Ovis aries: one gene and its partners. The protein of the gene in region 1 interacts with the protein of each later gene in a pairwise test. Links are inferred from orthologs where the notes say so. Each region holds a gene or a part of one and is shown in the gene's direction. Other genes may lie near its edges.

Region 1 (3,963 bases):
CCGAGGAAATCTGGTAAGTGCTTGTGGAACTAACTGGGCAGCTTTGGAAGTCGTGGAGAACACCTGGTGGGAGAAGAGTCGTTGCGGGCGCCCCGGGGCGCGCGGGGGTGGGGTGGGCGTGCTGCCGCGAGGACCAGCTGTAGTCGAGCCTCTCTCAGAGGTGAGTGCTTATCCCTAGGGTGAGCGTGAGGAAAGGCAACTGACCTGTTTGCCTCCTGCTTCGACTGCTTCCCTCTTCTCGTCCTCAGAGGCCGAGAGGTCTGGATTCTCAGGGATAAGCTTCTCCTTTGGGAAACGCGAGGATGCTCCAGGGAGTATGAGTATTCAACTTTTGTTTGTCGCTTTCCTTAACCGCCCCCCGCCTCTAGTCCGCCCTCTCTGTTCTCTCTGTGAAGTAAACAAGCTATGTTTGGCAAATCGTTAAGTGGGAGCGCTGAGAGGGCGAGTCAACAGGTGATAAGGGGTTAACAGGTGCGGCGCAGGGTAGGGGGCGGGTTCCAGGCGCTGAGAACGCCCCCACGGGTGGCTGGCGCGCCTCCTGAGGCTTCCGTGGTTGTGAACTCGCGCCCTCCTGCACGCTCTGGGTTGATAGCCCAGGGTCGGGTGCATGGTTGGGTGAATTAGAGCGAGGGCGGTGGGCTCGCAGTTGGCCTGAGGTTCAGCCACACCCAGAGTGAGTGGTTCCTTCCCTCCCCTATTCGTGATTGATCTGTTAGCTGCCTTTTGGAATGTAAGCGTGTCCCTGACCCCCTGCCTTCAGGTCCCTTTCCTTTTCCTGTGATGTCTTCTAAACGCACTTCTAACTTATACTGTCACCATTTGGACCCTGGGAAGTTAAAAGAGGAGTCTATCTTTCCGTGCAATTCCACTTCGGAAACGCGTAAGAACAGCTCATATGATTCATCCTAATCCATGTTTAGGCGGCTAGACTTTATCCAGCCAAGATGGATGGGAGATGCTAAATTTTTAATGCAAAAGCTAAGAAAAGCCTCCTTTGTCCAGTGGTTGAAATGGAGGTACACTTAAGAGAATCTCACTCTTTTGAGGATTCTACTGATCTTTCAATAGTTTTTACTTTGGGTGGTTCTAATTTTGTTTTTTACGCAGAAGTTCTTAAAGTGTATTTTGTCTTCTCCAGTGTGGTGTAAAGGAATTCGTTAGCCATGGATGTTTTCATGAAAGGACTTTCAAAGGCCAAGGAAGGAGTCGTGGCTGCTGCTGAAAAAACCAAGCAGGGTGTGGCAGAAGCAGCAGGAAAGACAAAAGAGGGTGTTCTCTATGTAGGTAGGTAAGCCCTAAATGTCACTTTGATATTTATTTGGGATTGATGGGTTAGGATGATTGATGCTTTAAATGCTGGTATTTCTCACCACTCCTCAAAGTGATGGGCTGAATCAGAGGTGTGTGTAAGTAGGTGAATGTGTGTGTTTGAGCTAATATACAAAGTGGGGCTATTTTGTTTTTCCAGACTATTTAATTTTGCAGTAATATTTAGGACTTTCTTTTTTTAAATGAATGTTTCTATGCATAAGTAACTATAGCTCTGAGGACACTTTTAAAAACTCAGTCTCAGAAAATATTCAATAGTATCTTAAAATCAAACTCCTCCATGAGCTTTTGATTTATCTTCATGAATAATATATGCTAACTTCAGTGTATTCTAATTTAAAAGTAAGACGTTGATATAATCTTGAGATATGTAAAGAGAGACCTACTGTGACTCTAAAAAGAAAAGGACAGACAAGTCTTTGGAGTTACTTCTTGTGACCACTTGGTAAGTTGGGGACTAAGCTCAAGAAAGTGCTTGAAGGCTGCTAATATCTCTGAGACATTTATATAGTTCATTTATCAAATGATACAATAAATTAGATGCTTACTGTTTTTCCTTGTTTATAAATTCCCACATCAGAGTATTCTTGCAGTGAAGTGAAAGTTGCTCCATCCTGTCTAATACTTTGTGATCCCATGGACTGTCCATGGAGATTCTCCAGGTTAGAATACTGGAGTGGATAACATTTTCCTTCTCCAGGGGATCTTCCCAACCTAGGGATTGAACCCAGATCTCCCCAGGGATTGAACCCAGGTCTCCCACATTTCAACTGGATTCTTTACCCGCTGAGCCACAAGGGAAGCCCAAAAATGCTTGAGTGGGTAGCCTATCCCTTTTCCAGAGGCTCTTCCTGACCCAGGAATCAAACCAGGGTCTCCTGCGTTGCAGGCAGATTCTTTACCAACTGAGCTATCAGGGAAGCCCTACTCTTTTTTTTTAATCTTGAACTGTGTTAGGTTGGGTGTTGTTTTACAAGTCACCTGGAATTCTTTGGGTGAAGAAATAGGCATACACATAGACACACACTCATCTATAGGGATACAAACGGGCACATGAGCATACACTCACACACTGCCCATTCTCTTTTCTCCTCTGAGCTTTTCCTCCTTTTCCTCACATTCTCTGGTAGCAGGTGTAGCACCAGTAGCCAAAGGATGAGTAATAAAGTGGAGGATGAGCATAATGGATTGTGTAGAATACTCTGTCTATGTCTGTGGGGTGAAGGAAAGCTATATCGTCTCTTCAATAGAGATGGACTGGAGAAAAGTTATACTTGGAATGATTTTTATGAATATTTCTCATATTTTTTCTCACTGTTCATAGACTTTTTATTTTGGTTCAATCTTACCACAAACCTCTAGTTAAATTACTCTTTATCTTAAAATGTATTTTCAGAAAATCATTGAATTGAAAGATCTTACAAGAGGGAAAAGTCAATGAGTTAAACTCAGTTTTTTTCTTGTGAAATGTGGATTGTATCTTTTTAGGTGGAATTTGGAATACTGAATCAGTGACATTTAGATAATCAGTATTTTTATATTTGTCCTCAGTGTTCCAAGTTGTACAAGTGCATGCTTTGTAACCATTCCTTGATTTCAGTTACTTTATAGCTTAGTTACTTTTAAGATATTTTTAGTTGGATAATATTGATTTATTAGTTTTGAATGAGTCCAAGAACCACTGACTATTAAATTAACATGGTGCTGTTTTCCAGGTAATAAGCAGGATTATCATCTGGAAAACATTGTACTTGTTTTCATTTTCACCCATGAGTTTGGGCAAATAAAATAACAATTTTTTAGAGATTAATTCTGTTGTTTTCTCTGAGATTATTATATGAAATTTCAATTTGTTTATGTATACATATTTTAAAAAATAATCTTCAGTGTTCATTATGGTATTTAACAGAGTGCATTCTATATACTATTTATCAGTTGATATTTTAAAGTCAATTAAAAGTTGAACACAAATACATAATTCAGGATGAAGTATGACCTTGTGAAGTTATAGTACTACCAGGTTTTGGCAAGCTTTTTCCCTAAAGGGGTAGTGAATAATTTTAGGGTATGATGTCTGTTTCAGCTGATCAGCTTTGCTCTCCTGAAGTGAAAGCAGCCATAAACAATAATTAGGGTGACTATGTTCCTATAAAACTTTACTTACCAAAACAGCTGGAGAGTTTATTTGGCTCATAAGCTATAGTTTACTGACTCCTGATAAAGTAGGAAAAAAATGTAGATTTGATGTCAAACTTGAATTCCAGTCCAGACTACAGCACTTTTTAACCTCTAGGATAATGGAAAGGTACTTAACATATCTAAGCATCACTTTACTCATTTGTAAAAATACAGTTTGAATACATGCAAGTACCCTGTAGAGTTCTTGTGAGAACATCATAATAAAGCCGAACCTATAAGTAAAAAGGCATACTTTTAAAAAATTAAAGACTTAATTTTTATGTTTTAAATTAACAGAAAAATTGATATATAGAGGTTTCCCATGTACCCCAAACCCCACACATGCATAACCTCTCAAATTACCAACATCCTTTACCAGATGGTACATTCATTACAACTGCTGAACCTACATTGACACATCATGATCATCCGAACTCCATAGCTTCCATTAAGGAT
Region 2 (3,500 bases), on another chromosome or scaffold:
ATGTCCATTGAGTCAGTGATGTCAGATGCAACCATCTCCTCCTCTGTCATCCCCATCTCCTCCCACCTTCAATCTTTCCCAGCATCAGGGTCTTTTCCAGTGAGTCAGGTCTTCACATCAGGTGGCCAAAGTATTGGAGTTTCAGCTTCAGCATTAGTTCTTCCAAGGAACATTCATGACTGATTTCCTTTAGGATTGACTGGTTTGATCTCAAGGGACTCTGAAGAGTCTTCTCCAACACCATAGTTTGAAAGCATCAATTCTTCAATGCTCAGCCTTCTTTGTGGCCCAACTCTCACATCTGTACATGACTACCGGAAAAACCACAGCTTTGACTAAACAGTCCTTTTTTGGCAAAGTAATGCCTCTGCTTTTTAATACACTGTCTGGGTTTGTCATAGCTTTTCTGCCAAGCAGCAAGCATCTTTTAATTTCATAGTTGCGGTCACTGTCTACATGGATTGTGGAACCCAAGAAAATAAAGTCTGTCTCTGTTTCTAATCCCCATCTATTTGCCATGAAGTGATGGGGCCAGATGCCATGATCTTAGTTTTTTGAAAGGACACTTGGGAGGCATTTCTTATAAAGTTTGCAATAGAGAACAGTTTTAACTTGGTTTTAGGCAAAGAATTGTCTAGCTTGTCGTCCTTTGTATTTTGGAAAGTGTGATCTTGGACGAGTGGAAGCCCCGAAAGAACTCAGCTGTGCAAACAGCGCCGATCTCTTCTCACAATAAACCCCTTACTGCGCAGCTGAGGGGAGCAGTCAGTTGACTCTGTTTGTCCCCGCCCCTCCCTGCAGAGCTCCCTCTGTGCAGGTCCTAATGAGCAGTGAAACGGTCCTGGGCCTGCGGTGGGAGGGACATCCTGGGTGACAGGGCTGAGACCCACAGCAGCTAATTAGTGTGCGGCTAATTGACCTTTCCCAGTAATTGTATTCCTCAGCCTTTGGCAACCAGAGAGGGGGGCCTTTCAATATCTCTGTGTAGTATCATATCTTTGATCATAATGAAAAGTAGCCATCAGAAATGTGAAATAAATTCAAAGCATAAATCACAAAGTTCCTGTCTTTTCAAAGTCTGTATTTTTTTAAACGAAAGATCAAGTCGAAGGAACAGTTTTTATTCTCATCCCATTAATATAAATTGGCGTTTGTGTTCATTCATCACTGTGGAGGTGACCGAGAACACAAGAGGGAGAAAGCAGTGGGAATGATTTTTGGTTCTTCTGACTCCCACTGATTGCCCTGAGCTCATGCTGTCTTTAACCACAGTATCTCATTGTTCGCAATAGCCATACGAAACATTTGTTAACCATCACATTAAAAAAAAAAACAACCTTGAAATGCCTTCCTAAATAATTGCCATTTTTGTCTTTGACATAGAAAATACACTACAGTTAATTCCCCTGTAAAAGTATGATAGTGACAAGGCAGCACGCGAGGGTGCGTCGAGGTGTATAGTTGTTACCAGTATCGTTGTATTTTGTATGGGTGTTCTTTAAATTCCCGAAGATGGAGGAGAATGACAGTCATGGGGGGCGGTTTGAGAGAGCAGAGTCCTTGCTCTGTGGGAGAAGTGACAGACTCATGAGCAACCGTTTCTACCTGGTAGCTATTCTGAAACTGAGACGTGATTTGTGGGTCTAGCTTCTGTCTTAGCAAATTAGCTGATGTCCAGATTTAATTCTACTGAATTTTAAAGCCTTGATTACTGTAGCTTTGTAGTATAGTCTGAAGTCAGGGAGCCCGGTTCCTCCATCTTCCTTTTTCTTTCCCGAGATCGCTTGGGTTATTTGGGATCTACTGTGTTTCCATAAACAGCGTATAATTGTTTGTTCTACTTCTGTGAAAAATGCCGTTGGTAATCTGACAGGCCTTGTATTGAATCTGTAGGGCGCTTCGGGTAGTGTAGTCATTTTCGTGATACTGATTCTTCCAATCCAAGAGCATGCTGTATCTCTCCCTCTGTTTCTTTTGTATTTGATTGCTTCTATCAGTATCTTATAGTTTTCTGAGTACAGGTTTTTTTCTTCTTAGGTAGGTTTATTCCTAACTCCTGTGCATTTTATTCTTTTTGTTGTGATATTAAATAGGATTGTTTCCCTAATCTCTCCTTCTGTTCTTTTCTTGTTAGTATATCAGATTGTGAGAGATTCCCATGAGTTATTATTATTTTTTCCCCCCCCTGCATCTTTCCCAGATTCATTGAGGAGCTCTCATGGTTTTCTGGTAGCATCTTTAATTTTCTATGTGTAGTATCATGTCCTGCAAACACCAACAGTTTTACTTCTTTTCCAGTTTGGATTCTTTTTTTTCTGTTTCTTTTCTGCTTGCCATGGCTGGGACGTACAAAACCATGTTGAATGGAAGTGGCGAGAGTGGGTATCCTTGTTTCGTTCCTTGTCTTAGAGGAAATGCTTTCAGTTTTCCACCAGTGGAATGATGCTAGCTGTGGTTATACAAATCAGGATATAGTTGCAGAACGTTATTCTAGATGTTCACTGGTTTTAATTGTGAGATGGGATGAAACAGTGAAAGATCAGAATAGTGTGGGTAACCTCTCCTCTGACTTCATTGGCCTGCTGGTGATTGCTAGTGGTTTTGGAGTATTTGTGGGGTCTACTGGAAATAAGTGTATTGTAAATTCTAGAGAAAATTGCCCTGTCATTGGTAATAACAAACTCTCTGTACTTTTTAAAAAACAGAAAGGGGGATAAAAAATACAGAAAGGGGTGCTAGTATTTAAATTTGATAATGATAAGGGCATGCCGTTTCTGGTGAATCAGTTTTGAAGCATATTGCTGTGTAGAACTGAAGACAAGTTCAGCGCCACCTGTGCTTCAGCGCCTGCTCATTCTTGTGATTTTGTCTCCCTCACTCAGAGCTGTGACCTGGATCAGCAGAGCATCATTCACATTGTGCTGAGACCGCGGAGAAAAGACCCAGAAGGGCACCCACCTCGGGGGGACAGCCCGCGGCCCGCTTGGGGGCGCTCTGACAGGGAGCCCGAGAGCCTGACTCGCGTGGACCTCAGCAGCTCGGTGCTCCCCGCCGACTCGGTGGGCCTGGCTGTGATACTGCAGGACAGCGAGGAGGGCGGCGCCTCGTCCACCCGCAGGCCAGGTACCCGATGCCTCTCTCCGTGCCTCGCGCCGGGTTCTGCGTGCTGAAGTCTCCGCAGAGAGCAGCCTCACTCTGTGTGTGAATACCTAGATCACAACACGCTCTAAATCAGTGGAAGGCGGCATGGCTAGAAGGAGAGTCTTGTTACTCTAAGATTTGAGGTGACGCATTTAACAAGAACGGCAAAGCAGAGCTTTCCAGTTAGGAATGAACATAAAGGATGAGCAAAGTGTCAGGCCCGTAGTGATAGTCCTCGTTTGTTCGTTTGGTGGTTCTAGGGGTGATGGACTCATGGGACGCCTTGTGCTGGGCTCACAATATGCGCACTGTATATCCCTCTCAGTTGCGCCTTTCTCTTTTCTTCTGTGCTTATTTAC
Region 3 (3,500 bases), on another chromosome or scaffold:
CCTGGGTTCGATCCCTGGGTCGGAAAGATCTGGAGAAGTGAAGTGAAGTGAAAGTCGCTCAGTTGTGTCGGACTAACTCTTTGCGATCCCATGGACTATATATTCCATGGTCCATGGAATTCTCTAATCCAGAACACTGGAGTGGGTAGCCTTTCCCCTCTCCAGGGGATCTTCCCAACTCAGGGATCAAACCCAGGTCTCCCACATGGCAAATGGATTCTTTACCAGCTGAGCCACAAGAGAAACCCCACCCTGGAGAAGGAAATGGCAACCCACTCCAGTACTCTTGCCGAGAAAATTCCATGGATGGAGGAGGCTTGTGGGCTACAGTCCATAGGGTCGCAAAGAGTCGGATACAACTGAGCGACTTTGCTTCACTTAGGACCAGGAGCGCAGGATCCCAGGGGCATCCTGGAGTCTGGCTACCATGCTCTCCGCCTCCTCTGGTTTAGGAGGAAAGAAACATGCGTGAACATCTGCCATCTAGTGGAGAGCCGCTGCCCAGGAGACTGTAAGGCGCTGGGCGTTTCCAGCAGGATATTCGTGTCTAGTGTTTGTTCACGTGACGGGGGAGGAGCCCTGTTGACGCTTCATGCATGCGTCGTATTGGAGATGATAAACACACCTGAGTTCACTACACATACCGCTGAGTGTTATAATAACCTGTATGTGTTCTTCAACTCTTTGTGACCCAATGGACCATAGTCCACCAGGCTCCTCTGTCCATGGGATTTTCCCAGCAAGAAATACCGGAATTGCCATTTCCTCCTCCAGGGGATCTTCCCGACCCAGAGGTGGAATTCGTGTCTCCCGCGTCTCCTGCACTACCGGTGGATGCTTTACCACTGAGCCACCAGGGACGTGTTATAATAGATATACAGTAACATGTAATTTATTATGTAATTAATGCATTGTATTAATATTTCTATTTATATAATATGTGTAGTATAATAATATCATCATAAATGAAGTAGAAATTTGAGCCTTTAAAAAAAAATCGAGGTGAGATTTTTTTTCTAGTAGCCAGTTTGTTTATTAATTTATTTTTGGCTGTATCGCACCACTTATGGGGTCTTAGTTCCCTGAACATGGCTTGAACCCAGGGCCCAGCAGTGAAAGCGTTGAGTCCTTATCACTGTACCACCAAGGAATTCCCTCTAATAATCAGTTTAAATTGTGAGGCTTAAGCAGTTTTCAAGCCAAATCCTGTTATTGTCCTATAGGATGGCTGATCTGGCCAACAAGAATCAATTGGTGACTGAGTTTTGAACTTTTCTTTCAGGTGTGTTTTGACTGTGGTGCCAAGAACCCCAGCTGGGCCAGCATCACCTACGGGGTATTCCTGTGCATCGACTGCTCAGGGGGCCACCGGTCCCTGGGCGTCCACCTGAGTTTCATTCGGTAAGCGGGCCTCTCTCCTGGGGGCAGGGATGAGTACAATGTCCCATGGGTCTCTCTCCCCTTTTCCTTTACATTTGCTTTGCCGTCAAGTAACAAGAGAGGTAGGTCGAGTCATGGAGATTTAAGTCTACCGGTAACTGAGTAAACTGGGAAAATGAGTAATTTTCTATTCAGCTGCTGTTCTGTAGAGCCCGGCCCAAGAGCCGAGGCAGTGGTGTTGAAGACACAGTCGGAATCTAGGGTCTGAGGCAGGGTCCCAGGGTCTAGGGTCCTTTTCCTTTGTTGTTGTGTTCAGTCGCTCAGTTGTGTCTGATTCTGCGACCCCACGGACTGCGGCACACCAGGCCTCCCTGTCCTTCACCATCTCCTGGAGTTTGCTCAAGCTCATCTCCATCGAGTCGGTGATGCCATCCAACCGTCTCAACCTCTGTCGCCCCCTTTTCCTTTTTTACCTTCTGATGATTAGCAGCACATGGGAGTCTTGCTCTGACCCCTCCTGGGTGACAGGGGGTTCTGTCTGTCCATCACTCCTTCAGCTATAGTTAAGTCAGGGGGACCCTCGGAGCTGGGTTTCGCCTCTAGCATAATCCAACAGCTCAGGCTCCCAAGGACATTAATAGAGCTGGAGGGAATGATTGTTGTATGAAAGATGTGTGCAGTGTGAAGCCTTTTTTCTTAACCTGCACATATGTGTTGTCTGGGCTCCTCTAGGGATTACCTGCCTCTACTCTGACCCTCTGTGGGGCCTTTGTGGGTACTAAAGGTACCCCGCATTCCAGTGGGAAGCTGGATGTGCCCTTGTGTGAAGTTAAATACATTGAGATAAGGATCCCCAGGCAGGCTCTGGGCTTGCAAGCCAAACAGGACGTGCACTCAAGTAGGCCTTGCCTCTGCAGGGCACCCCTGGGGCTCAGATCTCCCCGTGGCTGGCCTCCCCTAGTCAGTTCACCTGTTGCCCTGCCTGTTAGGACTTAAGGACTACATTGATCCTACAACATGATTACCACAAAGAGTATTTGTTCCCGTAGACTAACCTATTAATATTATAATTTTTTACTATATTAACCTAAAAAGCTTTCTTTATATGCTCTCATGAATTCTTTTTCTCAGAAATCAGTTTATAAGAGCTGCTGCTGCTGCTGCTAAATCGCTTCAGTCGTGTCCGACCCTGTGTGACCCCATAGACAGCAGCCCACCAGGCTCCTCTGTCCCTGGGATTCTCCAGACGAGAACACTGGAGTGGGTTGCCATTGCCTTCTCCAATGCATGAGAGTGAAAAGTGAAAGCGAAGTCGCTCAGTCGTGTCCGCCTCTTCGAGACCCCATGGACTGTAACCTACCAGGCTCCTCCGTCCATGGGAGCAGAATGCGTTCAATATTATAGCTGTTTTAACTCCATAGGCAATGATTTAGGGAAGGGAATTCTCTTGTGTGTTCTTCTTATACTTTCTTGTTCCTTAGACACAGGATATTTTTTAACACACTCTCCGGTCCTCGTATCTTTTTCAAATGTGGAGGGGTGTGGTTGCCACGGCAAGTGTATCTGCATGTACTTTTCCCCCCCAGGTCGATTGTCACCAGGTAACACATGGTGACCCACTCTGCCCAGAGCTCCAGATGCCCAGACTCTGTGTGCCAGTGGCTCTCCTCCTCTCTGCTCGGCCCCACCCACCAGAGCCGGCCCTCCCTTTTCCCCACCACACAGCGCACTGCCAGTTTAAACCATCCCAGGAAACGAGGTGGCTTTCTGACGTGTCCCCAGCTGAGGGAAGGGCTGACTGAGAGCCTGACGAGACTGGACAGCAGGGTCTCTTTGGGCTGTTGCTGGTTTAATCACCACCCTTGGAAAGTTAGATAAATATAACCGGGTGAATCACGATGCTTGTACACGATTCAAAAACAGCCATTAAGGGAAAAAAAGTCTCTGTACGTATGACTGAGGGCAGCAGTCGAGGATTTGGGCAGGAGAAAGTCAAGGATGATAAGGGTATTTAAGGATTTTTTTTTCAGAGGTGGAGGGCTGCTCTTTAAACATTTTTCGTTGATTTTTTAAAAAAAAATTACAAACATTAGTTCATTGGGAAAAAATAATCCAAATAG
Region 4 (3,498 bases), on another chromosome or scaffold:
CCCCTTCCTGTGCAGGTGATGCCACCCAGGGTTTTGGTTCTGCTGTTTTTTTTAAACCTATTTTATTCCTATTTTTATATGTTTCCATTTTGTGTTTCCATTGTTTTCCTGTGGTTCAGACAGTCCCCTGAAGGTGTCCTTCAGAGGTGGCTGGGGGCCTGGTTCTCCTGTTAGCATTGGAGATTTGGTGCTGGCTTCTCAGGCAGCTGCCAGTCATCTCTGTCTGGTTGTCTTCAGCGCCCTTTCCCTGAGGTGTGTGTGGGTCAGGATGTGTCCTTCCTGTATCTAGAGGTTGTGGAGTCTCTGTCTGCACAGCCCTCAGCAGACTGTGTGCTTGTGCATCTGGGCGGGGGTGCGCAGATCTGGGGATCAGAAGTGAAGAGCAGTGTCGGGGTGCCCAGAGACCCTAGAGTGCATCGGGGGAGGGCTGGCTGGTGAGCCCCTGTGGGTACCCAAGGCTGCTGTCCCAGTGTACCCAGACAGGCTCCCCCAGGTCCCCGCTCCTGGCCACTGCGCTCCAGTCTCTGTCTCCTGCACGAGGACACCTGAGCTGAGGGCCCACCTGAATCCCAGTGGTCTCACCTTAAGACCTTTCACCAGTTATATCGGCAGAGACCTTTCCAAATCAGGTCTCGTTTGCAGGCTTTGGGTGTACTGCGCTTGCTTTTCCCCCTCCCTCACTGGACACGCAGATCATTGCTGACCACTGGCCTCCAGGGTCCCCGCTCCCTGCATTGGGCCTTCTCATGGCAGGGGGAGTGAGTGTCACTTGGGGGACACATGACTCATCTCTGGAGACTGGGTTTTCCTTCAGAGCGCTGCCCAGTGAACGGGAGGAAACAGGAAGGAATCAAGCTGTGCCTTGGTTCCTGCAGAGCTGGTGGCCTGCCGCAGTTTTTCCACTGCCCAGGAGCGAGTAGGGGTGGGGCTACATTGGGGTGGAGGGGTCTGTGTCTGAAGGGGTCTATGTCCGGGTTGGGGGGCCTCTTTAGTTGAGAGTTTGTGTCTGCGTCTTGGGGGCCTGGGCATCTGTTCTCTGGGGGCTGAGTTCCCCTCTGAGGGCCGAGTCCTTGTCCCGGCACCTCTGTGTCCCGAGCTGCCCCCTTCTCTTGGGCTGTGCGTCTCAAAACTTTCCAGATGTCTGCAGTGGTCCTGTGTGCCTGGGTCCTCACGGACACACCTCTCTCAGCACAGGAAGTCCTGGAGAACCTCAAAGACCGCTGGTATCAGGCGGACAATCCGCCCCCGGACCTGCTGCTGACAGAGAGCGAGTTCCTATCGTTCCTGCACCCTGAGCACAGCCGCGGCATGCTGCAGTTCATGGTCAAGGAGATCATCCGGGACCTGGGTGAGGCCTGGCCGCGGAGGTCAGCCTGGGCTGGTCCTAGACTGGGTGGGTGGCTTGGGGGACTGTGTGCTCGCTGCTCTCAGTCACGCTGAGACCACACAGATTGAAAACCTGATGACAAAGCCCCATTGGCTGAGTTTCTCCCGAGTGGCCTTGGTGGTCCTGTGCCCACTGGATTCTGACATCTGCCCTCCTGTCCCACAGACCAGGATGGTGACAAGAAGCTCTCGCTGTCTGAGTTCATCTCTCTGCCCGTGGGCACCGTGGAGAACCAGCAGGGCCAGGATGTTGATGACGGCTGGGTACGGGACAGGAAGAGAGAGTTCGAGGAGCTGATTGACGCCAACCATGATGGGATCGTGACCATGGCAGAGCTGGAGGTGGGTGTGGGGCCATCCTGTGCTGGGAGGCAGAGTTGATCTGGCGGTGGCTGGGCACTGGTCAGGGGAACTGGAGCCTCCGAGCTGGGCCATGCAGCCGATGTCATGGGCTCCCCTTTTTGGGCCCAGGTGTGCTGTCCCCCATGGGCAGTCTGGCCAGACTCTGGGGCGGGAGGGCTGTGCACAGGCTGGACCCACTGCCTGCCTGTCAGTGTCTTCCCTGGCGTCGTGTGTAGGTGCTGCATGGCCTTGTTTCCTCCCGTGGCTGGATGAGTCATTGCATTTTATTCCAGAATCCCCTGACCCCTCCTCATAGCTGGTAGGATGTCTGGTTTGGGAACTCCTGCCTGTCAGCACTGCCGTCCTGGCGGTTGGTGTGCATGTGCCCCGCTTCGGGGCCTCCCTTCACCCTGCCCTTCTGTGGCTGGACACCCTGATATGAGCAGGGAGGTGCCCACACAGGTGGAGGCTGCCTGGCCCTGAGCCACTTCCAGCCTGGTGCCCGCCTTCCAGAACAGGCCCACCTCCTGGCTCCACAGCTTCTGTCCTACCAGCCAATGGGTACTACAGACCAGCCTCCGCCTGCTGTAGCCAAGGCGTAGGTGCCCCATGAGTGCAGGGTGTCCTCAAGGGGGTCTTGGTTGCATAGCTGGGTGTGGCCTGAACCTGAGGAGATGCCCCTGGCCCGGAGGGGTTTGGGGTGCGTCGGGGCTGAGCCGCTGCCCTTGCAGGACTACATGGACCCCATGAATGAGTTCAGCGCCCTCAATGAGGCCAAGCAGATGATTGCTATCGCTGACGAGAACCAGAATCACTACCTGGAGCCTGAGGAGGTGCTCAAGTACAGTGAGTTCTTCACGGGCAGCAAGCTGGTGGACTACGCCCGCAGCGTGCATGAGGAGTTCTGAGCCGCCACCGCACCCCCGCCCCCTTCCTGCCCCCGCAGCACCCCGCGGGCTGCCCGCACCCTGATTCCAGTGTAATCGCTGCATCTCGCTTCTGAGAACTCAGAGCCCCACTGCCGGAGGCACTGACCACATCAGGGCGGTGGGCTCCCCCACCGTGGGAAACGACGGAGCTCCTGCCATTCCCTCGAAAACTGAAAGGTGAAACTTTGCTGGAAACCGGCAGCCAGTGGCCGGGGTGGGGCGGGGTGCTGGGTGGGGCTGTGAGAGCCACCGGCCCGTGGCCGTCAGTCTCTGAGGAGCATGAATATTGGTGACAGGAATCACATTAATTTACTTCAAAATATAGTTGCCTTTTTCTCTCAGCTTCATTGTTTTGGTGGGAAAAAAAACCACGTAGACGATTACTTGGGATGTTTGTGGCCAGGCGGCTTCCCCTTGAAGTTTTGTGGTGGGCGGTTTGGTTAGAACCCGGGGCTTCCTAGCGTTGACATTCACCTGTGATCGGGTGGGGCCTCAGCTGCCAATTTAAAGTCAGGAGCGAGAGTCCAGGCCTGGGTGAGGCCACCTGGGAGGGACCAGGAGAAAATGGGACTTTAGGACGGAGGGGGACTCTGAGGATGAGCGCTCCCAGGGATGGGGGTAGAGAACTAGGGGCACTCACAGAGTTTGGAAAGCACAGGAGTCCTGGCCTGGGGCTCTCTGCCGGAGATGGGGAGGAGCAGTCCCGGGGGTTGTGGTGAGGCTGGGGAGTTGGGAGCCTGCAGTGGGGGAGATGAGGCGACAGGTCCTCTACTGGCTCCTTCCCAGGGTCTGCTGTGCCTGGTGCGTGGCTGGCATGTGGGGTGGAGGAGATAACACACTG
Region 5 (3,500 bases), on another chromosome or scaffold:
AAACTTTGTTCTGTTTTAGATGTAGCTGACTCTCTATTTCCCCTGAGAACCACAGAAAAGTATGTGCAGCATTGCCATCCTCATCAGTAGAGCATGTTAAGCGTCAGCATACTTGCAGTGCTGTTTGGTTCTGTATTATCTGCTAAAGTCACACTGGGATATGATCATTTGTGGGCAGGATAAAATCACTTCATCAGTTGCCTGGGAATTGAGGATTCATCCATATGGGCCAGATGTGTGGAAGGGGTGAGGAGAGTGGCAGCGCTGGATTTCTCTGCTTAGACCGAGCAGGAGAGGAGAGCAGGCCACAAGGCCTCTCAGAGTCTTTCCCCAGGCAGAGACCTAGGTACCAGCCGCTATGCTGTCTGAGCTCCAGGAGCCCCTACACGCGAGAGGGAGGCGAACACCTGAGTCAGCAAATATGACACGGGGCTCCAGGCACAGTGCTGGAAGTGCTGTGGGTGTGATGGAGTGAACCCAGAAGTGGCGATTATCCCAGAAGGAAGGCGACAGGTTCATGGGGGTTAGGGCACCACTAGGGGGTGTGTAGTTCTCTGGGGTGGAGAACATGCCAGGTAAAGGGGTCAGCACTTAGTCCTTTGAGCTACAAATGGCACAGCCCATTTGAAGCATAAGGCCTGATTTAGGGAAGAGGGTGGGAGTACAGTGCAAAAATAGGGACCTTAGATTCCAGAGCAAGAAGCAGAACTAAAAGCTAAAAAGTGTGGAATCAAATGAATTCTTACAAAGTGGGAGGTCCTTGCTGAGGTCAGAGAACCTTGGCTTCCAGGTTAGAAAAATGTCTCACAGGTTCAAGTAAGCCTGTGGCCGTACCTCACTCACAAAGGAAGCCGAGGCCTGTGCTGTCTCAGCCACAGGGATGCCCATGGCTACTGCCCTCTTTCCCAGGTGATGGGTAGCGAAGGCATCCAGGAGCTGAGGAGCAGCGCCACCGCCCTGCACCACCGGCTGGAGGAGTCGGCCTCCCTCCTCACCATGTTCTGGAGAGCAGCCTTGCCAAGCTCCCCTGGCGCTATGCTTGTGGGCAAAGTGGTAAGAAGCCAGCATCCTCTACCGGTTCTGCCCCCAAACTAGCCTTCGACCTCCTCAGCCTGCAGAGCCTGAAGATCAGGAGCTGAATGGGCAGTTGGGACGAAAGGGACATGAGGCATGTGTCCCTGGAGGGAGACCTCTCCTCTGTGGTGAGCGCTATCTGTGCAGGTCTGAAAACATCTCTCTCCTCCCAGCCTGACCCCCAGGATAAGGAGCCAAACAGGAGAAGAAAAGAACATAGAGGAGGCAGAGACATGAGAGCCCTGGTAACCCACAAATGTTCCATCCCTTTAACTTTCTGAAGTTCAGCTGAGCTGAAGTTTGGGGCCATTTAAAACATCAACACCTCCTTTTCCATCCTAAGCCCACTCCCACTCACCTCCAGGTCTGCATAGGCAGACAGGATCACAGAATGTCCCCAGGAGTGGACCAGCCCTTTTTACCCACCCACTGAAATCCCAGAAAAATTTCCACTTAAACCTGTATCTCTGGGTCAAGCCTGTTGAGAGTCAGCCTCCCCCAGGTGCTCTCAGATCTCAGGCCACTCTGGTTGATGATCTTGGATTAGGTAGATTTCAAAATCCCTCCTAGTGTTCTCACTCCAGACTAGTATCAATGATAACTTTAGGGGATCCAACTTTGCTAATTCCAAGGAGGAAGTATTTTACCATCCTGAGGCTGGCAGATATATTTACAGACTTGTAGAACGTCTCAGGCCAGTCCTGTTTCCCCAGGCATAATATTCCTAATGACCAATTTTTGATGCCCAAGTGATATAACTATGTCAGCATTAAATCAGAGCTCTTACTCACAGCTAGGAGTTTCAGTGTGGCCTGGACTCAGGTCCTCTGCAGCAACTGGAGTGTGGCCTGTGCTCCTTTGCATAGGGGCTTCCAGGTCCTCAGTGTTCCCACCTCATGGCCCATCCTGAGCCATCACCTGCTGGAGGGTTTTAGAGGCTTTGATGAGGGAAATCTGGTCCAGAAATACTTGAGAAGATTGTAGAATCCTGTTTGGGATTGTAAAGAGCCACAAATCACAGGATGCTTAAGGCCTTCTGACCACTGACAGAGCACCTATTTTTCTTCCTAGGGAGAGTCTATGAAAAAGGAGCTTCTGGAACTGAGAACCAAACTATCCAAACAGGAGAGTCTCCTTCAGAGTACATCTGAGCGTCTGAAGACCGCCAACCAGCAGAAGGAGAGCATGGAGCAGTTCATCTTCAGCCAGTGTGGGTGCCCTGAGCCAGGGAATGGGACAGGAAATTGGGAGGGCCTTCCTGGCTCCCCACTTGTGCTGTGAATGGACAGCGACCAGAGAGGCTAGGGGATGGGGGAGACTGATGTGAAATCCCTGAACCTCCTGTGCCATCAGTAATCATAGAGGCAGAGGAGGAGATGTGGGGGTGGAGGGGACTAGGAGACCCCAAGCTGAGTGGCCAGAAAGACAAGCTTTAGAACACACACACCCAAGACAGATATGGACCCCACTGGTAATTTCTGCCTTTGGGAACTCTTTTGTTGTTACAGTGACCAGGACACACGATGTTTTGAAGAAGGCAAGGACTAATTTGGAGGTAAGGAAACCACTGCATTGATCAGAGCAAACTGTCACCGTCTGTATCAGAGTGCACAGGTGACTCCTGACTTGCGCTGACCTTCCAAGAGGAAATTTCTGGTCCACCTGTGGGAGCACAGGTTCTCAATGAACATCCCTCTAGATTCCATCCCCATCAGTCCTCCCACCCTAATCAGAAACCTCCCCTGACTTCTCAGTTCACTCTCACTTTGTCATCATCTTCTCTCTTGACCCCAATTCTCTCTCCTTTATGCCATGTCAGGATTGGGGAGAAATGCAGTTCAGTTGATTCTCAAGGTCAGAGGACATATGGGGTCTGCCTCTGAATGAGCTTTCCAGTAAAGGAATCCTGAGGCCAATCATGGGTTCCAGGGTTCCTATGCCACTATATAAAAAACTGATGGAAAGATGCCACCTAACAAGTTGATTTCACTGCATAATATTGGGCTGAAAGCAGCAATTTGATTTTGACATATTTTTCTTTAGGAAACAACATAAGAAAATCATTGGGTCTTATTGATCTAAAAGAGAACTTGGTAATAAGGAAAAACTGAAACTTAAAGGGAAAGATTATCTCATAAGGCAGGCATTCTCTACATTTATTGAAAATACCAATGCATTCTCAAGCAGCCACTTTGAAGAAAAACTTGAGGTGTTAGAAATGGCTTCAAAGTCAAAAGCTAAGCTTTGTACCTTGGGCTTTAAAGCTTTGCCATAATCAGTTGAGCCCATTCCTAGGAATATTCCTAAGTTTTAACCTAAAAAGATGTTGACCCCACAGTATGAAAATGGGTTGGGCCATAATTTAACCCTGATTTTCTTTTTTCCTGCTAATTTCTTCTGATTCCTTTCTTTCCTGAGCCTTTTTA
Region 6 (3,500 bases), on another chromosome or scaffold:
TTTCCTTTGCCAAGGTACGGACATTGCTGCAGGAGAAGAAGTTGCCATCAAGCTTGAATGTGTCAAAACCAAACACCCTCAGCTCCACATTGAGAGCAAAATCTACAAAATGATGCAGGGAGGAGGTAACGATTTTTACCTATTAAGAAAACCAAGGTGGTGTTTGATAAGGGAGATGGCAGATGTCATGAATCACAGTCTGGTTGATTTGGAAAGGGGGCAGGAACGTTCATACCCTTGACCCCATCCTGTGGCTTCCTTCAGATACTATCTGAGAGGCCTGCAAAGGGCCTCACTCGACCAACATCATTTAATGCTCTTTGCATGAATATTCCCTTTCTTAGGTTTTGTTATGTACTGGTGTCTTTGAACACGAGCTTATGTCAGCACTGACATGAAGCTTCCTGCTGATCCTCCTGTGCTGTCTCTGTCACGCTGGCAGCTTTGGGATGGTCCACAGACTCTTCCTCCTGAGTGAGACCCCTTCCAGCTCAGTTACTGTCTCGCTTCTGTGAAACCTCTCCTTGGGCTTGAGGGTATCTGATGTCAGAGAACACCCATCCTGATTTCAGAGTCTCCCTTTTAGAATTCTCTAGACTTTGAGGATGTTTGGCTAATAGAGCAGGAAGGGGTCTTATTGGGGGTCTCAGTTCTGAAGACACTGCAGCATTTTGAAGGGTGTGCCTGTGCTGCTCCCCAGAGAGCTTGGAAAGCCTTGGCACAACCCTGAATGTCTTGAATTTCTCTGGGGACAGGGCTTTGTGTATGAAGAATAGCTCTGTTATTCCCTTCAAGGCAGAAGCCCCCATGATACTTTCAGAGTTGGGGATGGGGGTAGGCTCCTAGGGCTTTGCCAAAGGAAAGCTTGTCTTCAGAGTCTGTGCTGGCACTTTTGTCAAGTGGAAAGGGAGGACTGGTGAGGTGACTTCTTGGCATCTTTGCTTCACAAAGCAGTTTAATCTGTGCTACTACTACCAGAAACCAAATCTGTGCTACTACTACCAGAAACCACCATATCTCTGTTGACATAGCACAAGGAGTCTCTCTAGCAACATATACATCTTAAACAACGTGCAGAGTCCTGTGAGATGATTGCAGAGGGGGTGTCCAGTGCCTCTTGTCCCTGGTATTAAGAGACCAGAAAAAGCTGTAGGTTCTCGGATGGCACATAGACAGGAGACTCCCTGGCCCCTCCAGTGCCCAGGAGAAGTTGACAGAGGACCCTACCGGTGTGTCTACCCTCTGGAGGCCCTCAATGAGCTTCTCAAGCACCAGGTGTGGTCTACACAGCTTTTAAGGTGGTTCTGAATAGGAACAGGTGACTTGAGATATGGCCTTCATGGTGGAAGGAGCTTGGTGATGGGGATTGGATGAAACCTTCTGACTGAAAAGCCTGTGCATTTGAGGAGCAGCATCTCTGGGAACTCAGAAGCTGGGTGCCCAGGGACAGAGGGAAGGAGAAGAACTAATGTCAGGGAGGAGCTATGGAGTAGATTAAGACTCAACAAAGGGAATTCCCTGGTGGTCCAGTGATTAGGACTCTGCTTTCTCCACTAAGGGCACAGGTTCAATCCCTGGTCAGAGAACTAAGATCCTGCCTCAACAGAAAAGAGTTTATTTGGGTTAGAACAGGGTCTCTCCTCCGAAGCATTACTGTTTATAATGGAAGCTGTCTCCTGCATGGAGGACAGAGAGCAGCATCCTAGGTACCAGTAGGCCCTCACCCCCTCCCCCAAGTTGGGGTGATCAGAAATGTCTGCAGATGCTGCTAAACGCCCCTGCGTGTACTTTCCGCTTAGACCCCCTATTTTAGAATGCAAAAGATCACTTACGTTAGTCTTCCCATGCCCTTCCCGTAGGATCATGGAAACCCACCAGAATTCTAGAAAATATATTCTTCTGTCTGACCCTAGCCACACGTAGATCGGGTTTTACTCTTGCTTCAGATATACACTTGGTGAATTCTATCAAGATGTAAATGTTTGTTTTAGAAAACTGATTCTGTCCGGGAGCAGAGAGCTCCATGCTGGTACTGTTTTGTGAGCTTGTCCTAGCTGGGATGGCAAAGGAGATAGAGGCCTCTGCCTGGAAACCTCATAGCTCTCCTGTTGGCCAGCCTTCTGTATCCATCTTAGGTGGTGCATCTCTGATATGGTTTTTTTTCTTTTTATGCTGAGCTCTGGGCTTCTTTGCAGACAATTGATAAATTGACAGCATCATAGGAGAAAACTTGTAGCCCAGGGCTTGCTTTGCCCTCTCTAGCTTGTAGTACAGTGTTGCCTGGGTTGCTGCCTGTTAACAGTGGCCTTGCAGTACTCCACTAGAGAGAGCTGCTGTGCTGGCTCACTCAGGCCACTTAGGGGAGGGGTTGGCATTTAAAAACAACAACAACATGTTTTGGGGTGTGGATGAGGTGGGTGAAAAGTTTCAGTTGTATGGTAGCATTTGGTAACCAGATTTACAGTGGTGATCATCTTTTATAAGTGTATACAAAGATGAAATTATACACTTTGAAACTAATATGTTTTACACCAATTTTACTTCAATAAAAGCAAAAGCAAAAAAAAGACACACTAGTGTCAGGTATTGTTGAAAGTGTTTTTACATGTGCTGGCACGTTCTCCACCACAGTCCTGTGCAGTAGGTATCATCACCCTCATATAATGAATGAAGAAACTGAGGCTGTTTCTAAAGAACACAGATTTGAACATGAACACTGTAGCTCCCAGACCACTCCTACAGAGCAGCCCTCCATGAGGGTCAGCAATCAGGAACAAGCCCCAGATCTAGTTGTGCAATAGATTAAAAAACTTGAAATAGCAGAAATAATTTTAAGTTAATTATGTTGGTGAAGGACTTGGGTGGACACCCAGTTTTTATCAAAACAAAGTGGACTGCCAGGCAGAACCTAGAGGCTGACTGCACTTTCCAGTCCTAAGAACCCCACAAAGTATATTTAGACCACATTCTCCTTGGGAAACCTTCGAGTGGAGATCTTTTGTTTAGGTCAGAGCTACTTCTGGTCGAGGCTTGTGGCGGGTTGGGAGGAGAGGGTGGGCCCTTTGTATGAGAATTCAGGCCAGGGGCAAAGGGTGGGAGCTCTGCACTGATGGTGGGTGAATGCCACCAGTGACTTGGCAGTAGAAACAGGTGGCCTCTCACCCAAGTTCACTCTCATTTTACATGCCTGGTCAGTTCCCACAGTATATTTAAGACAGTTATGATCTTTTTTATTAGGAAAGGTTTTACAGTACCTAAGAACATGTAGAGCTCGTGGCTATTGGAATACTAAAACGAACCCCCAGAACTCCCATGTGCTTGAGAGAGAGAGCAGGAAGGCCTTCGGCACCTGTGTGCCCACCCCAGGACTTCTCTACAGCTGCCCAAAGCCTGTCTGCCCTTGCTTAGTGTGTTTCTATTTTTTTTTCTCCATTATCCTGCAAGAAGTTAGTTTTTTAAAATCTAATGACATTGCCCAGAAACGTTTGGCCATTGTATTT
Region 7 (4,076 bases), on another chromosome or scaffold:
GCGGAGGAAGCCGCGAGGCCGCAGCCCACCCACCCCGGCCTCTAGAGAGGTGCAACCCCGGGCCCCTAAGCTCCCGGGGGTGCCAAGAAGCCAGCCTGGGCCTGTCCCCAGGAAAACGTAGTCTCAGCTGTGGGGGGTCTCGAGCAGGCCTCGACCCTTGTCTCTGACCGGTGGAGAGGCTCGGCGCCTCACCCTCGCCCGGTCTTTGTGCAGGGCGCCGGCGGCCATTGTGTCCGTGCGGGGAATGGAGGACCCGGCAATCCCCCACTGCCACCGCCACTACCAGGGCCTTTGGGGAATTCAAAGAAAGCCAGCGGCGTTTCTGGGGGGTCTCCGGCTTTCAGCCTCCCAGAAAGGCCCGGGGATGGCCTTTCCAAACTCAGACCGCAGATCCAAGGCAGTGTTCCCCTCCCTCTGTTTCTCATCGAAACCTTGAGCCCCATCGAGAAGTCCCTTCAAGGTTTCTTCGGAAGCCTCACCCAGGGCTGATACTGAAATAGAAAAAAAAAAAAAAAAAAACTAAAGCTCACACCAGCCACCTCCGAGAGAGTTCTCCTAGCTCCCAGTAGGAGGCGGAGAGCCAAGGGGCGTGCAAGAGCGAGGGGGCTGGGCTCCCGGGTGGCAGGAGGCCGCGGCAGCGGCCGCCCTCGATCGGGGCGATGGAGGAGGAAGCAAGCGAGGGGGCCGGTTCTTGAGCTTCGTAATTCCTGTGTCGCCTCCTGAGCTCTCAGTTCGCCGGGTCGCATGATCCCTCCAGCCGGAGCTGCTTTTTTTGCCAGCCGCCGCCGCGAGGCCGGTTGACTTACCGGCATCCCCGCTGCCACCTCCTCTCCCACCTATGATACAAAAGATCTTCCGGGGGCTGCACCTGCCTGCCGTCGCCTGAGACGGATTTGAATGTAGGTGGTGAGGGTTTATGGGGGTGGGGGGCAGACTGCCCATGGGGGTGACTTTTCGAGGAAGACATTTCAGAGAAAAGGGGGTGGCTGGGATAAAAGGGGAGGAAAAAAAGGCCGGTGTGATGATTCAGAGCCCACTGGTGCTTTCAAATTGACTTCATCGAAGTACCTGGGAAGCTAGACCCATATCTTCATAAGAGCGGCAGAGAACCCAGTTCAAGTACCTGGAGTGGGGAATGGGATATTGTAGGTAAATGGCTTGCATATTCATTTTTTCCCCCCTGAAGCTCTTTCTTTCCCTTCAGAACCTTGTCTTGCCTTTGGATCTTCGAAGAGAACCACTAAGCAGAGACCAGACCCAGTGAGTGAGCAGGTGTTTTGGACAATGGACTGGTGGAGCCCATCCTTATTATAAAAATGTCTCAGAGCAACCGGGAGCTGGTGGTTGACTTTCTCTCTTACAAGCTTTCCCAGAAAGGATACAGCTGGAGTCAGTTTAGTGATGTGGAAGAGAACAGAACTGAGGCCCCAGAAGGGACAGAATCAGATATGGAAACCCCCAGTGCCATCAATGGCAACCCATCTTGGCACCTGGCGGATAGCCCTGCGGTGAATGGAGCCACCGGCCACAGCAGAAGCTTGGATGCCCGGGAAGTGATCCCCATGGCAGCGGTGAAGCAAGCCCTGAGGGAGGCAGGCGATGAGTTTGAACTGAGGTACCGACGGGCATTCAGCGACCTGACGTCCCAGCTCCACATCACCCCAGGGACAGCATATCAGAGCTTTGAACAGGTAGTGAATGAACTCTTCCGGGACGGGGTGAACTGGGGTCGCATTGTGGCCTTTTTCTCCTTCGGTGGGGCACTGTGCGTGGAAAGCGTAGACAAGGAGATGCAGGTATTGGTGAGTCGGATCGCAACTTGGATGGCTACTTACCTGAATGACCACCTAGAGCCTTGGATCCAGGAGAACGGCGGCTGGGTAAGAACCACGCCCCTTATGTATTCCTTTTCCTTGGCTTCTGGTCAAATCCCCAACAACCTTTCCCCTGTGTCTGTTGTGCTGGGTGATTATTATTGTTTGTTAAGGAGACATAACTGGCCTCTTTGTATCACAGAGGTTAACTTCTGAAATACAGATGACCTAGTTCTGTGAGGACCAGACATCTTCATTCTGGTCTTCCTCGTGACCCTACTCTGTCATACTTGTGTTCCAGTTTCTCTGCAGAAGATAACATAGCCTGTGTGTTCATTTGGCCCCAAACCTTTGAGAATGCAAAGGTAACAGGTTACCCCTCACCCTGACATAATGGCTCACAACGTTAAGGGGTGATGAGTGGAATGCCTGGAGAAGATAGTGAATATCAGTGACCCACCAGCCCCTTCAGTCTTACTCCCTTGAGCTGTCAATCCTGTCCTGGGCTTCCCTCCTCCAAATCAGGTTCCCCTTATTTCAGAGTTTGCATGGCCTGGCTTTGCATCCCTCTGGATGGCTGAGGATTGTCTGATTTTAGGTTGTAAGCTGCGCCAATGGGCCAGTTGTGTTTGTGCTGTGCCCCATATTTATTGGCTCTAAAGTATGCGACTTTTCTGTGTGGTTGGCCAGTTTGCGGAGCGCTTGCTGTCAGCCCAGGGACTTTGCACCTCACTGCCTGGGTTGGTTGGGGAGCTCCAGCTGTTATGCTTGTCACTTTTCTGCCATGGCCCTGGGGCCTCTTCACTGAGCACTGTTTGCTGGCAATGCAAGAACCTGATCTTTGGGGCTCCTTGGGACATTGAGATTCAGTGACAGACTTCAGAAACAAACTGACACAGATGTGAGTCCCAGCCCTGTCACTTAACTAGGTGTGTGACCTTGGACAGGCCAGTTTACCTTGAGCCTCAGGTTCTTCCACTAAAAAAATGTGGCCAACCCTCTTGCCTTGCAGTCCTTGTAAATCTTGGAGCTGATGTGAGCATAGTGACAGGAAGTTTGCTCTAGTAGTTACTGTCAGATCCAGGTACACCTTCTGAAACTGAGTCGTGCCTCATTCCTTTGCCAGGGAAGAGAATTCCCTTGCCCTGATATCACCAAGTCAGGATGAGCTGGTGTGGAGGGATTCTTTACCTGTGGTCACTGTCAGCAGCTTTTGCTCTCTTGCAGTGAACTCAGTCATATCTCCTCGCTTATCTCCCTGCCTCAGGGAGGTGTAGGGCTTAAGAGAGGTATTCATTCTGTCCTTCAGAAAATTGAGCAGGCTGTGGAAAATAAGTCATCTATTGAAGGAGCTGAGGTGGAAAGGGCCACGCACCATGGACTCAGGAATGTTAAGAATGCAATTATCCAGAGGCTGGGCCTAGGGTGTGGCAGCCACTTCAGTTTACCACTGAGCAAGGGACCTCCAGGTACACCACCCCCTGTCTTATTTCCCATTTCTTTGCAACTTCATCAACTCTTCCCACTGCCAGTTCTTATAAAGAGCAGAGTAGAGGTCAGATGACCGGGGTGGGGCTGGGAAGGTAAAGGTGGAGGGCTTTCTTTGGCTCAGACTGACCCAACTTGAAAGCCTTTCAGTAAATGAACTCCCTGGGGGAATAAATGATTAAATAGTTCCTGTTGGTTTGTGTGATGACCTCTCTTTTTCCCTCCTGCTTTGATTTTCTTTAGGGGCAAATATTTGTTTAACTTACTACAGGAGGGACAGGATTCCAGCGTTTCTGACACACCCTCTGAGGCCTAAGTAGAGACTTGGGCCATTTGCCCCTCACTGTTATCTCTGGCTGGTGGTCCTAATTCCATGTGGGTTGTGGCCAACTGTTAACAAAAGGCAACATGGGAGAGGTTCCTGGCCTGCCAGCCAGTTGTCTAAGAGGGCCACCTGGACCAGAGAGTTGTTAGTCACCCAGTGTTGCGTGTGGAAAGAGGTCTTTGACACAGCAACACTGGGCAAGATCATTAGATCACCACTGGATTGACATTCCATCTTCTGCTGTCTCTTTGCCCAACAGCATACCATGTGTTACTTCCTCTTGGTGGACAGAGGGGATGTGTGCAGAAGAGCCAGTTATATCAGAACCGTTTCTGGGCACGTGTTCTTCCCGAGGCCAGGAGATAGAGAACATGTGACACTGGGATCCTTTGGGTAGAAGGTGCCGCCCACTTCCTCTCGGGGACCATTCTGTTTGAGCTGCACACTGG

What was found.
Region 2: the proteins of SNCA (region 1) and PRKN interact in binary tests that used the Homo sapiens proteins (3 or more experiments, as listed by UniProt). The link is inferred for Ovis aries from reciprocal best matches to the Homo sapiens genes SNCA and PRKN.
Region 3: the proteins of SNCA (region 1) and ARFGAP3 interact in binary tests that used the Homo sapiens proteins (3 or more experiments, as listed by UniProt). The link is inferred for Ovis aries from reciprocal best matches to the Homo sapiens genes SNCA and ARFGAP3.
Region 4: the proteins of SNCA (region 1) and SDF4 interact in a two-hybrid assay, tested with the Homo sapiens proteins (2 studies listed by BioGRID and IntAct). The link is inferred for Ovis aries from reciprocal best matches to the Homo sapiens genes SNCA and SDF4.
Region 5: the proteins of SNCA (region 1) and PDE4DIP interact in a two-hybrid assay, tested with the Homo sapiens proteins (2 studies listed by BioGRID and IntAct). The link is inferred for Ovis aries from reciprocal best matches to the Homo sapiens genes SNCA and PDE4DIP.
Region 6: the proteins of SNCA (region 1) and CSNK1D interact in binary tests that used the Homo sapiens proteins (3 or more experiments, as listed by UniProt). The link is inferred for Ovis aries from reciprocal best matches to the Homo sapiens genes SNCA and CSNK1D.
Region 7: the proteins of SNCA (region 1) and BCL2L1 interact in binary tests that used the Homo sapiens proteins (3 or more experiments, as listed by UniProt). The link is inferred for Ovis aries from reciprocal best matches to the Homo sapiens genes SNCA and BCL2L1.

The regions. Positions count from the first base shown.
Region 1 is NC_056059.1:35,535,625-35,539,587, forward strand, and holds the start of SNCA (alpha-synuclein), read left to right. Parts: upstream 1-1,163; coding exon 1,164-1,284; intron 1,285-3,963. UniProt on the Homo sapiens protein: Neuronal protein that plays several roles in synaptic activity such as regulation of synaptic vesicle trafficking and subsequent neurotransmitter release.
Region 2 is NC_056061.1:85,560,519-85,564,018, reverse strand, and holds part of PRKN (E3 ubiquitin-protein ligase parkin), read left to right. Parts: intron 1-2,882; coding exon 2,883-3,123; intron 3,124-3,500. UniProt on the Homo sapiens protein: Functions within a multiprotein E3 ubiquitin ligase complex, catalyzing the covalent attachment of ubiquitin moieties onto substrate proteins. Substrates include SYT11 and VDAC1.
Region 3 is NC_056056.1:219,584,210-219,587,709, reverse strand, and holds part of ARFGAP3 (ADP-ribosylation factor GTPase-activating protein 3), read left to right. Parts: intron 1-1,282; coding exon 1,283-1,401; intron 1,402-3,500.
Region 4 is NC_056065.1:50,598,832-50,602,329, forward strand, and holds the end of SDF4 (45 kDa calcium-binding protein), read left to right. Parts: intron 1-1,189; coding exon 1,190-1,348; intron 1,349-1,552; coding exon 1,553-1,728; intron 1,729-2,459; coding exon 2,460-2,636; 3' UTR 2,637-2,998; downstream 2,999-3,498. UniProt on the Homo sapiens protein: May regulate calcium-dependent activities in the endoplasmic reticulum lumen or post-ER compartment. Isoform 5 may be involved in the exocytosis of zymogens by pancreatic acini.
Region 5 is NC_056054.1:97,837,343-97,840,842, forward strand, and holds part of PDE4DIP (myomegalin), read left to right. Parts: intron 1-909; coding exon 910-1,053; intron 1,054-2,145; coding exon 2,146-2,284; intron 2,285-2,582; coding exon 2,583-2,629; intron 2,630-3,492; coding exon of another isoform or gene 3,493-3,500. UniProt on the Homo sapiens protein: Functions as an anchor sequestering components of the cAMP-dependent pathway to Golgi and/or centrosomes.
Region 6 is NC_056064.1:50,108,909-50,112,408, forward strand, and holds part of CSNK1D (casein kinase I), read left to right. Parts: intron 1-14; coding exon 15-125; intron 126-3,500. UniProt on the Homo sapiens protein: Essential serine/threonine-protein kinase that regulates diverse cellular growth and survival processes including Wnt signaling, DNA repair and circadian rhythms. It can phosphorylate a large number of proteins.
Region 7 is NC_056066.1:60,937,206-60,941,281, reverse strand, and holds the start of BCL2L1 (bcl-2-like protein 1), read left to right. Parts: upstream 1-1,276; 5' UTR 1,277-1,316; coding exon 1,317-1,880; intron 1,881-4,076. UniProt on the Homo sapiens protein: Potent inhibitor of cell death. Inhibits activation of caspases. Appears to regulate cell death by blocking the voltage-dependent anion channel (VDAC) by binding to it and preventing the release of the caspase activator, CYC1, from the mitochondrial membrane.